Drosophila melanogaster: one gene and its partner. The protein of the gene in region 2 interacts with the protein of the main gene of each other region in a pairwise test. Each region holds a gene or a part of one and is shown on either strand. Other genes may lie near its edges.

Evidence for each region.
Region 1: the proteins of phr (region 2) and Tpst interact in a two-hybrid assay, tested with the Drosophila melanogaster proteins (one large-scale study listed by BioGRID).

What each region holds. Positions count from the first base shown.
Region 1 is NC_004354.4:13,560,527-13,567,963, reverse strand, and holds the start of Tpst (tyrosylprotein sulfotransferase), read right to left. Parts: upstream 4,142-7,437; 5' UTR 3,631-4,141; intron 1-3,630. Other genes in the region: CG32633 (uncharacterized protein), read right to left, coding at 5,148-5,998, 6,247-6,253. UniProt on the Drosophila melanogaster protein: Catalyzes the O-sulfation of tyrosine residues within acidic motifs of polypeptides. Has a role in protein secretion.
Region 2 is NT_033778.4:7,822,256-7,829,270, reverse strand, and holds phr (photorepair), read right to left. Parts: upstream 3,983-7,015; 5' UTR 3,768-3,982; coding exon 3,726-3,767; exon of another isoform or gene 3,672-3,725; coding exon 2,400-3,671; intron 2,338-2,399; coding exon 1,984-2,337; 3' UTR 1,952-1,983; downstream 1-1,951. Other genes in the region: CG18853 (uncharacterized protein), read right to left, coding at 16-77; Prosalpha1 (proteasome alpha1 subunit), read left to right, coding at 786-861, 924-1,100, 1,389-1,870; CG30383 (uncharacterized protein), read left to right, coding at 4,148-4,579, 4,813-5,145; cathD (cathepsin D), read left to right, coding at 5,805-6,722, 6,786-7,015.

The DNA.
Region 1 (7,437 bases), on a different chromosome or scaffold from region 2:
AAAATGAGGATTGAAAAAAAAAAAGGAAAACAGAAACGACAACGGCCGACCTTCCTCCTCTTCGGTGGCCATCATCAAAAATTTTTGTTGGCCAGCTGAGAACAAACAGTCAAGTCAACGTTGCGTGTCGCCCCCTTTGCATATTTGCCTTAATTTTCATTATTCTCATATTCATTTCGTTTTTATTTCTTTCCGGCCTTTAATGGGCCGCGATTTGAGGGAATGATGAGAAATGCTGATGGGCCAAGTTAATATGAATGAATGATGATAAATGCGCAATGTTTTTGTTCATAATTAATTTGTACTGTTCCCCTCATTTTTTTTATTTTTATTTTTCATTCTTTTGCTCGAGCCTAAATTGCCCATTAATGGCACGAGTGTCACGTTTCTGTTGCTGTTTTTTCTTTTTTTTTGCAGGGTAACTCAGTAGGCCACTTGCATGTTGGCCAAAACGGTATCAACAGGTGTGCAGATTTCATCGTTCGATTCCGGATAAAAGCACATCAACTCGCATCGTAAATTTATCGTAAAGACAACGCTTAAAATATTTATGGCATATATGCTATTTTTAGGTGCAGCAGTTATTTTATTTATTATTTTTCCATTCCAGTTTGATAAGCATCGAAATGAGCAATATAGTCTGCTTTACTTTTGATTTTATAATCTCTGATAAAAAAACGAACTTATGAGTATGTAGGTGAACACATGACTTTTTGATATCATTTAGCTGGACAACTGGATCGAATGAATTGTAAATATGTCAATGTACAGCAAATAAATGAAATGCCACGTAGAACAGAGTACTTCTTTCAGACCCATAAAGTTGTTTGAGTTCCCCGCCAACTGAAATATATTTTTCAATATTTTATATCGACAAAATGCAGCCCAACTTTTCTAGATCCACCAACATTTTCCATTGCCCAAAATGGATTCACACCATCGGCTGTCATAGCCAGTGGTTTCCCCTTGAGAACTTCCACTTCAACTTCAACTTCCAAATGCAAAAGACCAGGTGAGTGTGACAGAGTTATAGAGTTGTATGCAAACACATCTACCTGGCCACTCAAGTGCGGCAATCTGAGCGTGACGAATAATGATTTTACGCCGCTCCAAAGAATTACGAACGATGGTAATGGCGATGGTAATGGTGATGGTATATATGACTCTATCCTATGGCTCGGTATCTGAACGGATTTGCTGAACTTTGCTGTTACGGAGGAGGAGGAGGAGGAGGAGGAGGAGGGTTTCTTCTCTTTAAGAATTGAATCTGGCGAAAAGTGTGCAAATTGTGCGCGAGTTTCTGTGCCCGAGCGGATAAATTTGAATTCTGCATTTAGTTGGCTTATTGAGTTTGCATCCGTATATCTGTCGTGCTCGCTGGCAGCTCCTTTTAAGCCAACTATTCCAATGACTAATTTCATTTGGCTGCAGTTTGCCCGAAAGCCAAAGAGGCGTCATGCGAAGACAGCAAAAGGGGGTGGGGGAATACACAGGGAATATTTGCTTACTATTCAGATATTTATTAGATTAGTCTTCGATTTGTTGTCAGGTTATAGATACATCTTTATTAAAAAGAATGCTAAAAGATAGATAGAATATTTAATTCTTTTATGTTTCGATTTAAGCCAAATCTTTTATGGACTTATTCTGTTAAATATCTATAAGATAGTTCAGAAATAAAACTAGAAGCTGAACATTGATTTCCTGCAGAATATGACTTTATTTAGTTCAGTTATATGTAAAACTGCTTAGATCCATGCATTTGAAATTAAATAACTTCTTGCAAAGTCGCGCATAAACGTTTCTTTATTTTCAGGCCTTATTGTCTTAGTGTCTTATAAATGGCTAATTTCTTGAGTTTTTTTTTCTGTGTGTAGATGTAATATGGGCACTTGGGCAGCAGCACTTTTGGGCCACTTGTTTCTCGAAATTGAAAACCATGAGGCGCATTTAAAAAGATGAAGTGACAACTGGCATACTGATGACGACACACAGGAGAAGGGCTTGGGGGGTGCACGGGTAGGGGGAAGGGTGAGGGGAGGAGCTGTAAGTGTGTGTGTGGAGCGTATAAATATAACAAGTGCCAAGTGAAATATGTACATAAATAAGCCAGCGCAGAGATACTATGCGACGTAGACACAGATACAGTGCTCACTGGCCCTAAAAGATACATTTTGAAATAGTATCTGTTATGTTTGTGAAAGTCAACTGAGTGCATTTTCTATTAGTTAAGATGTTTTTAGTGGTTCTCATAAGAACTTTTGAAGGATTATAAAAAGTCCATTGAATTGCACCTTTTTTGCAACTTTAAATGGTTTTCTAGATTTCAAAATACATCTTTTCAACGAATTTGTTCTCCTGTTTTTTTTTAATGTTTTTCTTATTGGTTCTTCACTGTACCGCTTTTGTCTATTATCGCCGTTTTATGTGTCTGTTTCTACCGCTGCATTTGTGCATTTTTGCATTTCTGCCCTCTTCCAGCAGCTGCGACTAATTGTTGAAAGAAAAAAATGTATTAAACGAAAAAACAAAAAACAAGAGGAATGGAAAAAATGTTGGCGGATAAAAAAAAGGACTAGGGGACAAAAGGAGGCAGGATGCAAAGGACTTGTTCGCGCTGCTGACTGCGAAAAGTGCAACAAACTTTGACAAAATAAAACGAAAATTCCGCCCAAAGGTACAAACGGGGCGTGGCAATGGGGGCGGCGAACCGATGAAGCGCCCCTTCTTGCAACTTCAAATCGCAAGCACACACACAACCACACACACAACCACACACACACAGACAGTCAGCCGCAGCTGGAGATTCTCACACACATGTGAAAAAATCGCGAGTTGCATGAAAAAAAAGAAACTGCATTGAAATTGAAGCACTCTCATTAGGAGGAAGAAGCAGAAGAAGTTGCAGCAGGAACCAGAAGAAGAAGAAGAAGAGGACGCAGAAGAAGAAGGTGATGAAGACCAGGAGACGAGAAAGCGCAAAAAGTGGTAACCGCAGCAAAAATAATTCCCATTTTTCGAAAGCGATGGCAAAAGCAAAGATAACAGCTTAACTGTTGATGGAAAATGCATTAAAATAAGTACATAAGCTGCATACAAATTTCAGGCACTAAACTGAATAAATATTAATGGGATTTCAAAATGTTGAACAAATATTACGGGTAAATCATAATAATAATATATTCACTGGCAGCTTTTTGTTGTTCACGCTTAAATGTGCAAGCTGTAGTGTTAATAAAAACGTTACTTAAACTTAAACATAAACTTAAACTACAATATGATTAACATTGCTTTCCAGTTCGAAAACGTAACAAGCTGCAATATCTCAATATTTTACGAAAGGGCCACGTAGGTGACGAAAAAAGTACAAAGTTGAAAATCAAATTGAATGACACGAAACAACTCATCAAAAACTTTTAAGATAAGCCTCTTACTAGTTCAATCTAGATTTTTACTTGCAACAGCGGCTAAAATATCAATAAATTAACTGATTAGGCAAAACATATATAGAACGAGGAATTTATATTAGTTAAAAGGTAAATAGTAAACCAATTTAGGGACGAATGCAACAAAGTAAACAGCGCAGATAAATAATGCTTCAGAATGTAATTGGCTAAGCGGCATATTTACCTGATTTGTTGTTGTTTTGGCGGCAGGTTTCCCATTAAACATTGTAAAGCAACAACAACAACAATAACAGCTGTCTCTCTTTCTCTCCCGCTTTCGCACTCCTGTTGTTATTGCTGTCTCGTTCTGGCAAGGAGTTTCGGTGCTGTTGTTGTTGCTGCCGCTAACTATTGTTGCTTGCACTTGTTGTATTTTTGTCACACAAACAAACAAACACGCACACACGCTCGCACACAATGTTGCACGTTGCGTGTGCCCTGCTGCTGCTGCTTCTTCTTCTTTCGTTACTTGCCGCGCCGCACGCTCTTCCTCTTACACTTCCCAAAGCCCCTTACCAATTGACCAATGGCATCGGAATCGGAATCGTAAACAAATGCAGCGCGCTCGCACTCTTCGTCACTCGAATGCTTTCGTCACGTCACCGTGTTCTCGCTTCTTTTTGCAGCAAATATGCACTCGATTCGCACTTTTCGCGACGACAACCGATTTTGGAGCTGTTTGGGGGCAGAGTGTGACCGTCGGGCGCAGCGGGCTGCACGTCGACTGCGGCGTCGCTGAAATTACCTAAAATATCTGTATGGCGCAATGGTGTGGCGTGGTGTTTGGTTACTACGCTGGAACGGTCACACTGGAAAAGAAAGCTCAATGCATTTAGCCAAGACAGGAACCAGTCGAAAGCTTAAATCGCCAGCTGTCGGCGGTTAGGCAAACTGCTACGGCTCGACTTTCTCCAGCTCGTCATAGGTGGCGCCACGGTTAGTGCAGATAATCATCTCATAGGTGGCGCCAATGATAGTGTTAAGATTAAGGCCTTTTAGCAACTTTCCTATAAAATAAATTGCGAAAAAAAGTATTTCCATGGGAAACTTTGTGCTGTCAAATAAGTGCTTAAAACATGTATTGATTACAACGTGTGCACATTAATAAGCTATGAAATAAAACGCTACGCCCGCCACTAATGAATTGACTTTAACTTTATGAAACGTTTTAATAAACTTTTCAATATACAAAGAAAGTTACAAAGAGTTTCGATACCTATAACTTTTTACCTCGGCAGACGAAAGGTCGAGTTATAAAGCATCGAGTGCATATATGTACACATTCTGATAACTGCGATATCTGTCTGAGTTTTACGATGCAGTGTTTGTTAAGTCAGTGGGCGAAGGCAAATGGTTAATTATGTTACAAGTTGACGCAAATTTATGGCCAACTAATCAATTGATTGTTGCTAATTGATAACCGATGTGATAACATAAGGCCCGCATATAGAAGAAATTCCTCACATCCGCAATACCTCGAAATTTCTATGACAACCACTTTGAACTATTATCACCAAAACTCTATGAAAGGGGTACTTTTTTTTTAGAATTACTGGGTGCATTACCATAAATTTTATCAGTTACGTTGCTCGATGTCGATCGAATTAAACTTAAATTTATACTTTAATCTGTATACTTCTGTTGTGTGTGTAAAAAATAGATTTATTAAAAAAAAAATGGAATAAAGGCAAAGCTGTCCGTCTAGATCCTCACCAGAACCTCGTAATTCTCCAGACGCACCTCCTCGCCACCGAATGGGATGTAGATGCAGCCGTGCGAGGGATGGATCTTGCCCACACTCAAGCTGTCGCAGTAGATGGCCCTGCCGACGTAGAGGGGCTCCCCGTCGACATTCGGACCGGAGGACAGGGCTCCGGGAGCCACATTTCCGTGCGAGGCCGGAACCCAACGGAATCCGGATCCCGTCAGCACCTGGACGTCGGTGAGCTCGTGCTCCGCCTGGGCATAGGCGGCATAGGCTTTCCCCTTCGCCGGCACCACTTTGGCTGGCAGCAGATCACCATTGCGGAACACCCTGCCCACGTAGATGGTGTCCCCGTTGGAATCGTGCCCAGCAACCAGAGCTCCATCCGGAATATTTGTTGCGGTGGTGTCGATCCAACGTTCCGGCTGGCACAGCACCTCGTAGGCAAAGATCTTAACCTCATCGGAATCGTAGGGAATATACAGGCAGCCGTGGGATGGATGCACCTTGCCCATGGTTAAGCTGCCGGCATGATAACCCCTGCCCGCATACAAATACTCGCCGTCCACATTCCGACCAACTTTGACGGCGCCCGGCGGCACCTCCCCGTTCTCCGCCGACAGCCACTCGTAGTTGTAGCCGGAAAGCACCTCGTAGTTCTCCAGCTCGTGCTCCTCGCGCGCATACGCCACGTAGGCCTTGCCCTTGTTGGGAATCACCTTCGCCGGCAGCATGTCGTTGGAGAAGAAGGCACGGCCCACGTAGATGGTGTCCCCGTCCGAATCGTGACCAGCCACCACGGCATTCGGCGGCACGCTGCCGTTGCTGAAGTGCATCCATCTGTGGTCTGGGGGATAATGGAAAAATGAAACGATTATTTAACAGCACACCGAATGGTATAACTCTTTAATTCTGTTGTTCATGGCAAGTAAACTAGTTTATTTGGCTAGGCCAAGTTAGTTTCCAAAATTGAATTAATTTATTTTGAGTTTCAACTGATTAAGTACTTTAAAGATTGGTAACTGTTTTATATCATCCACCTAGTTAAATGTTTTCATTTTTTGTTATGGCATCTTGGCCTTACGACCTATTTACCTGCCATTTTCTTGTCCGTTCTTCAGCAGCTCTGACTTTCAACTGTGAAAGTGGTCGATTTGATGGTCTTTTTGTGTTTCCGCCTCGATGTCGCTGATAGGGCTTATCGGGAATATACCTACATGGCCAGATAAGAAGCCCGACCTCAAGTGACTCAGATCTTGGCAAACTCTTGTTGAATTTCTAATCGATTGGCCAATTGGAAGTAATGGGGTTTAACATCGAGAAACAGGCAAGTTTATTTTATTAACCCATATAGTGAAAGTAAATATTGCACTAGAAATGTTATAAATGTTAAGTAAATTTGATTTATATTTTATTTTTTTATCTCGTTATAATTTATACATTTAAAATTCTTTCGAGTCGTCAAGAATGTAATTGCATTCATAATATCATAATGGTTATTACTTTTTTTTTTGTTGCCGACAAACTTTCTCGCTTATTGTTTGTTACATATAGCATATACATATTTCATGGAGCTGTAGTTAAACACAAAAAGTTTATTCCGCTTTTTAACATACTAATAACAATAGCTTGCGCGTTTACAACTCGTGGTTAACCAGTTATCTCGTTCATTTGTTGTGCCACCTTTTCGAGTTGCCTTACATCCGTGCATGTATCTCCATTTAACCGCCCAATATTCGCCAATTTGAATGGGGGAATCGCTTGATCCTTTATTTATTCGCCACATTGCAAATTTCTTGCGCGCGCTTTTCCGCTTTCCCACTTTTCCGCATTTCCACTCGTCCAGTCGTCCACGCACTTCACTTATTTAGTGGTCGCTGTCTTTGCAGTTCGTTTTCGTTCGTTTTCCTTTTGTTTTCCCAGCATTGTTGCCTCTTTGAATGATTTTTCTTGTTTTGCCTTTCAAGTGGATCACTGTTTTTTGTTTGCATTTTCGCCCATTTACAACTATTTGAACAAGGGAAAACGTGGAAAGCTGGGCGCAAAAGTTAAGAGGGGTTGCTGAAATTGCTGTGCAACGCAACGTTTGCACCTGTTTACAGTGGCTTGTGAATTCCCAATGCTGGACTGGTGGTAGGGGCTGTGTGGGGAGTGTCATTATTAAGCTTTACGATTTTTCCACGATTTCCCAGCAGCTTTGCGCGCCCTGCTCTCGAGCAAACCAATTAACCAGAGATAAGTCTAACTTGACTTCAAACTGGGTAAACAAGCTGCATTCTCGAAATA
Region 2 (7,015 bases):
CTGTCTCAAACGCACCTGAGATTGTTGATCTCGTTCCGCGCGATGGTCAACTGACTCTTCAGATCATCCTCGTGCATTTTCGCTGCCGGCAACGCGCACTTGACTCCCAAATAATCCGCAATTGCAGCGTTCTCCGCTGTTATTGACCAATATTTACCTCGATTCTCAATGGTTACATCCAGCTAGAGTTGGCCATCACTTACGCACGGCACCGCGACGTTATCGATTGTCGATAGGTTCACCTGTGCTTAGTTACGGCCAACTGCCTTAATTCCAGTTAGATTTAGCTTGCGCTCAATAGCTTTTTTTACAAACATTTTCTTAAGAAATAACGTTGTAAGCCTCAACAAAAATTATATAAGATAACGTTACTGAGCAGTAAAAGTTTTGTCTTCAATTTACATATGTTTGTTAATATTTTTTTTTACAAATCCCTTTGCTCTATGTTGACTAATTTACAATAATTCACAAATAAAAATAGGAATAATTTAAACATTTTGTAAGCGTAGCTTAACACTATTTTGGCTTTTTCCAAATATTCGATTTCAATGATAAACGATATATCCCAGCGCGCGTTTCTTTTTGGTATTTTTTAGGTTCATTTTCGGGCTGAGAATGACAATCTGAATTTTGCACAGTAGGTTCGATTTGAAGCGACATTTTCCCTGCTATATACAAATTTGTAAATTTTAATTGTTCAAAAGGTGTGTTGCTTGCGGCAGACTTGAGAACTGAATTTTAACCGGCGTTGTCTATTGCAGCTATCGAAGCACGAAGAAAGCATCATGTCTCGCGGAAGTTCAGCCGGCTTTGACAGACACATCACGATCTTCTCTCCGGAGGGACGCCTCTACCAAGTGGGTTAGTATCCTGGCACTTGCGGCTCCATTGTATCCAGTCTGACATTCTCATTTCCCCGCCAGAGTACGCCTTCAAGGCTATTGCCCAGGAGAACATCACCACGGTGGCGCTGAAGAGTGGCGACTGTGCCGTGGTGGCCACCCAAAAAAAAGTGACCGAGAAGAACATCGTGCCTGAAACGGTGACCCACCTGTTCCGCATCACCAAGGACATTGGATGCGCAATGACCGGACGCATAGGTATGAACCATAGATACTTTAAATTCTTGTTTATCCCGGCGTGATTCGAGTCAAATTCCAGTCGAGTTAGCACAGAGTTATCCCATTGTTGATATGTCCCATGTAACCAAGTAGCGATTCACTTATGATTGTGCTAAAATCAGAAGAAATAGCCTGCCAGACATTAGGGCAAAGGCGTATAGCGTGGAGCCATTTTAAACGTAGTTTTCACACGGTGCTTCAACTAGAAAAGAGGACATATCAACCCAAGAGTGTCACTAAATACTTAAAATTATTTCTCTCCCCTAGCTGATTCCCGCTCACAGGTGCAGAAGGCCAGATACGAGGCCGCCAACTTCCGCTACAAGTACGGCTACGAAATGCCCGTGGATGTGCTGTGTCGTCGAATTGCGGATATCAACCAGGTGTACACGCAGAATGCCGAGATGCGTCCGCTCGGCTGCAGCATGGTGCTGATCGCTTACGACAATGAAATCGGCCCCAGCGTTTACAAGACGGACCCGGCTGGCTACTTCAGCGGGTTCAAGGCCTGCAGCGTGGGTGCCAAGACTCTGGAGGCCAACAGCTATCTGGAAAAGAAGTACAAGCCCAACTTGTCGGAGGAGAAAGCGATCCAGCTGGCCATCTCCTGTCTGTCCAGTGTGCTCGCTATAGACTTCAAGCCGAACGGCATTGAGATCGGCGTGGTCAGCAAGTCTGATCCCACTTTCCGTATTTTGGATGAGCGGGAGATCGAGGAACACCTCACCAAGATCGCCGAGAAGGACTAAGTTCTGTCCCGCTAGCTGTAATTTTGTCATATTTTATAAAGCCTCTTGGATCTATGGTTAAATAAAAAATGCTCTTGGCTTGCATTCAAAACAAAGGCAAATCCGAAAACGTTTTATTTCTTCTTGTGCACCTTACCGCCGTATCGCATGACAAAGGCATTTACATCGAATTTGCGACGGCATCCCTGATAGTTCATGTACCTAACCTTACCGAAGATAGCCCGCTCCTTCCAGCCCATGTCATGGACGCCGCCAATGGACCACATGCAGCCCACATAGCCGTTGGGGTCGCGACCATCCAGACTGTACTTGTCGTTCAGCAGGATTGCGTACTCCAACGCATGCTCCGGTGTCGCTGTCCATTCCAGAATCTTTTTGGCCCAGTACATGCGCAAAAAGCCGTGCATCTTTCCCTCGCGTACCAGCTGCAGTTGCGCCGAGTTCCACAGGTCGTCATAAGTGAGAGACTAGGAAAAAATTATAAAATCATTTTAGTCTCAAATCAAAAGAAAAAGAATCCGTGGTGAACCTTTTCTAGTTCTTCTAAGCTGTAGCAGGGATCTCGCTTGTCCTTGCGATGTGCATCTAGCGTTTGATATGCCCAAGAACTTAGACCTTTAAGACTATCATAGTGCTCGTTGTAGAAGCAAAAGTTATCCGCCAGTTCGCGGCGCACAATGGCCTCCTCGCAAAACGCATCCGCCGAGGCTTTGTGTTGTCCTCGAAACCGCTGCACCTCCAGTGCACAGCGCTGAGCCGAAATATGACCAAAGTGCAGCCACGGCGAGAGTCCGGACAAGGCGTCTGCCGTGGGATCGTTTCGTTTGTCATTGAAATGGCGCAAACGACGACTGCAGAACTCGTAGAGCTGCTGGCAGGCTGCTTTATACCCCGGCTTGGCCCACTGCACCTCGTCCACTTCCATGTCGCACTGCAGCGAAGCATAAGCAGCTGACCAGTCCACGGTATTCACATTCTTGCAGCCAGTTCCATGAGGATGCCGCACAACTGGTGGGAATACGCTGAGGTACTCCCCTAGCTTGGAGTTGATCTTGTTGCGGATGGTACGCGCAGCGTACTCCTGTTTGTCGGAGGCCACCCACAAGGGGACTACATTGTGAGCATCGACTTGCACCAACGGCACGCTCTTGGGCAGTGCCTTGCCCACATCCTCGACCCATTGGCGTGGCAAACGCAGCGGAGCAAAGTCACAGACTACGGCTCCGATGTCCTTGGATTTCACAAATTGTGGTAACTTTTCAACAGCGGAGCCCATCAGCAGGTGAAACGGTATGTCAAGGGCGCGACACTGCTGCTCCACCTCCTGCAGGCCGCCCATCATGAATTTGTAGTGCCTGATAGTGGCATTCAGGAATTTGGGAACTAGGCAAAATACCACAGTTAAGGGTAATTCCAGCTTGAGAGCCAGACGCTGGGCAAAGAGCAGGGCCCAGTTGTCCTGTACGCGCCCGTCGCGGGACATCCAGTAGACGACGCCGCCTAGGCTGGATTCCTTTACATCTTCGGTTTTGGACAGAACGCGCACTCGTTTCTTTCGAAAAGAGAACTCCTGTATGTTGGCTGCCGTGCAGACTCGCTGGTGTTCCAAGTGGGTAAGAAACTGCTCGAAGTTTTGGTAATCCGGCTTAGAAACCAACAAAGCCTTCGATGTGGAGGCCTCCTCATCGCTGCTTTCCTGGTCACTTTTGGGCTCGGAGCTGGCCTTCTCGTTTTTTGCTGCCTTTTTGGAAGGACCTGCCTTCTGCGCCTTCGTACGCTTCATCGCCTGCAGCGGAAGAACCTGAACATGAATGAAAAATCGTGATTTGATTTTTACTAATTCGATTTAACCCACAATCTTGAATGATTCGCGCCAATATGAAGCAAGTGTAAACATAACTGTATAACGATATGGCGACTCTATCAGCTGTTCAATGAGAGTGAAAATTATGCTAGTAGCCGCACTCCAAATACACTTCCCTTGGAAGAGAAATTATTATGAATTAACATAAATAAAGAATTAAGTATTATGTTTAAATTTATATTAGTAGATTTTTTTTTGGCATAATATTTTAAGGAAAGTTGTGGCTTTCGGTTTTGAAATACATTTAACTCCAGATGTTCCTATTTCCTAAACATTCCCTAAGATTTCAATAGTCTCAGTGCCGCATACGATACACAGCAGTTATCGATTACAAAAAGAGTGCAGATCTGAAAGCGCACGTTGAAATTAAACCGATTCTTTACTGTTTTATAATAAAATGTTTTATATTGGGAATGAAAATGGACGAAACTGTGGACGAAGCGGAATTTAATGCCAATATCGGCCGTATTGCTCGATCTACGCTTTTGCACGATGCTGAACAATCGATCCACAGGGAGTTGATCGACTACGCTGTTGCGTCGTGCCGTCTGTTTTACATCCAGGATGCTTCAGCCTGGAAGGAGTGGAACACCAGGAACGAGGCTTTCAGGGATCTCACTGCCAAGGAAGTGTGCCATTTATTCCTAACCGAAGTTCTGCCCCAACTGGACACCTATCAGCTTTCGGAGATGGCCCAAAAACGCCTTAAGCTTCTGGATCTGCATCCATTCTTCAGGCGCGTTGCCCAAGGCTACCAGTACACTCCGGATTGTGACCTTGCAGCTCGATTTGTAGTCCAGCGCCAGAAACATTTTATCCAACCTGAAGATATCAAGAAGATTAAGGTAAGCATATCTGTCGGCGAATAATTTTGATGCCAATTTACTATGTACATGCATAAATATGAATGTATTTACTTAAAATTGCTTTCGTTAATAAACAATAAGTACCCTTTTTTTAATTTAATTTAATCTATCCTTATGCAGTTATCCGGGCACTTACACATCACATTATAATCTTATATCTCTTACTCTCTTAATCCAATAGTATGATATTAATTTTTGCTCGATTTTTATAGAAAGGCGATTCCCTGAAAAGATGCCAAACCGTGCTCATGGAAAGCGATGAAATGGAGCAGAAAACCTGCGTTGGGTATCGAAGCAAAGTCTCCATGGAGTCCGCCGTTCTGTTCTCGGTACTGTTGTCCACCAACCATGAGCTTTCTATTGGAAAGATGCTCGATATGAGTGAGATTCACGAAAGAATGCGGCGCGCCAAACAGTCATTCGAGGATACTGCTAGAGTTACTCCGTTCCGAACGAACATTGATGACCTAATCTCCGATTTGGATGTCTGTGCTAAGGTCAAATCCAAACTTTGTCGAGTAATAAGTGATTGTAAAAAGTACTAGAAAGGATTAGCTATATCTTTTATCTATATTTAATACTTTTATTTCATTTTAATCAATAGTATAAAATTATTTCTCTGGATTTTAGGTGACTATAAGAAGACTATTTTTGTAATATTTTTGAACCATTTAAGCTCAAAATACAACTTACTATTCATATTTTAATATATAATTCCATGTTATCATGAATTTATTAGAATTTATATATACAAGTAAAGATTCGAAATTCAGCTTCGACCCGCTCCTTACGATTGTTATCTATATTATCAATTAATACATTAAGGTTGCTCATCATAATTGTTAATTGTTTGCTCATAAAAGCGTTTAAAAATGAAAGATGGGAAATACTTTTTTAGCTTTCCCTTATTGTCTCTAAAGTAAGATCGTAGTCATGATACAAGCTCTTCCTAAATGTGTAGAAATAATGATACATTTGTATTATATATACATAAACGCGAAATATTAAAAAGAAACATTCCGAAAATTAAAGAATTGCATTAGTTTACAACAAAAACTATCGAATCTCTCTAATCAAAACGACGCGCCAAGCCAAATTTAGTACATTATCTGTGCTGAATCATTTTCGCTGTGCCGCAATATTTAATTAACTGCAGCGATCATTGCAGTTTTAGCCACCAGAGAAGCGTAACATAGAAATCAAAATGCAGAAGGTTGCACTGCTTCTAGTCGCCTTCCTGGCTGCGGCCGTGGCCCACCCAAATTCGCAGGAGAAGCCCGGATTGCTGCGCGTACCGCTCCACAAATTTCAGTCGGCCCGCCGGCACTTTGCGGATGTGGGCACGGAGCTGCAGCAATTGCGCATTAGGTACGGCGGAGGTGATGTGCCGGAACCGCTGTCCAACTATATGGACGCGCAGTACTATGGGCCCATTGCCATTGGCTCGCCACCGCAGAACTTCCGTGTGGTTTTCGACACCGGCTCCTCGAACTTGTGGGTGCCGTCCAAGAAGTGCCACCTGACCAACATCGCCTGTTTGATGCACAACAAGTACGATGCCTCCAAGTCGAAGACCTACACCAAGAACGGCACTGAGTTCGCCATCCAGTATGGCTCGGGCAGCTTGTCCGGATACCTGTCCACGGATACGGTGTCCATTGCCGGCCTGGACATCAAGGATCAGACATTCGCTGAGGCGCTCAGTGAGCCGGGCCTGGTCTTCGTAGCTGCCAAGTTCGACGGCATCCTAGGCCTGGGCTACAACTCCATCTCGGTGGACAAGGTGAAGCCGCCATTTTACGCCATGTACGAACAGGGTTTGATCTCCGCTCCGGTGTTCTCATTCTACCTGAATCGCGATCCCGCCTCGCCCGAGGGCGGTGAGATCATCTTTGGCGGCTCCGATCCCAACCACTACACTGGTGAATTCACCTACTTGCCCGTTACCCGCAAGGCCTACTGGCAAATCAAGATGGATGCCGCCTCCATTGGCGATTTGCAGCTGTGCAAGGGCGGTTGCCAGGTGATCGCTGACACCGGTACCTCACTAATTGCTGCGCCCTTGGAAGAGGCCACCTCTATTAACCAGAAGATTGGTGGAACTCCCATCATCGGTGGTCAGGTGAGTACCATGCTCTAAGTTCTCACATGAAGCACTGCTAATCCTCTTAATTTCTTACTTTAGTATGTGGTTTCTTGCGATCTCATTCCCCAATTGCCGGTAATCAAGTTTGTGCTGGGCGGAAAGACCTTCGAGCTCGAGGGCAAGGACTATATTCTCCGTGTGGCCCAGATGGGTAAGACCATCTGTCTGTCCGGCTTTATGGGCTTGGACATCCCCCCTCCAAACGGACCCTTGTGGATCCTCGGTGACGTTTTCATTGGCAAATACTACACCGAGTTTGACATGGGCAA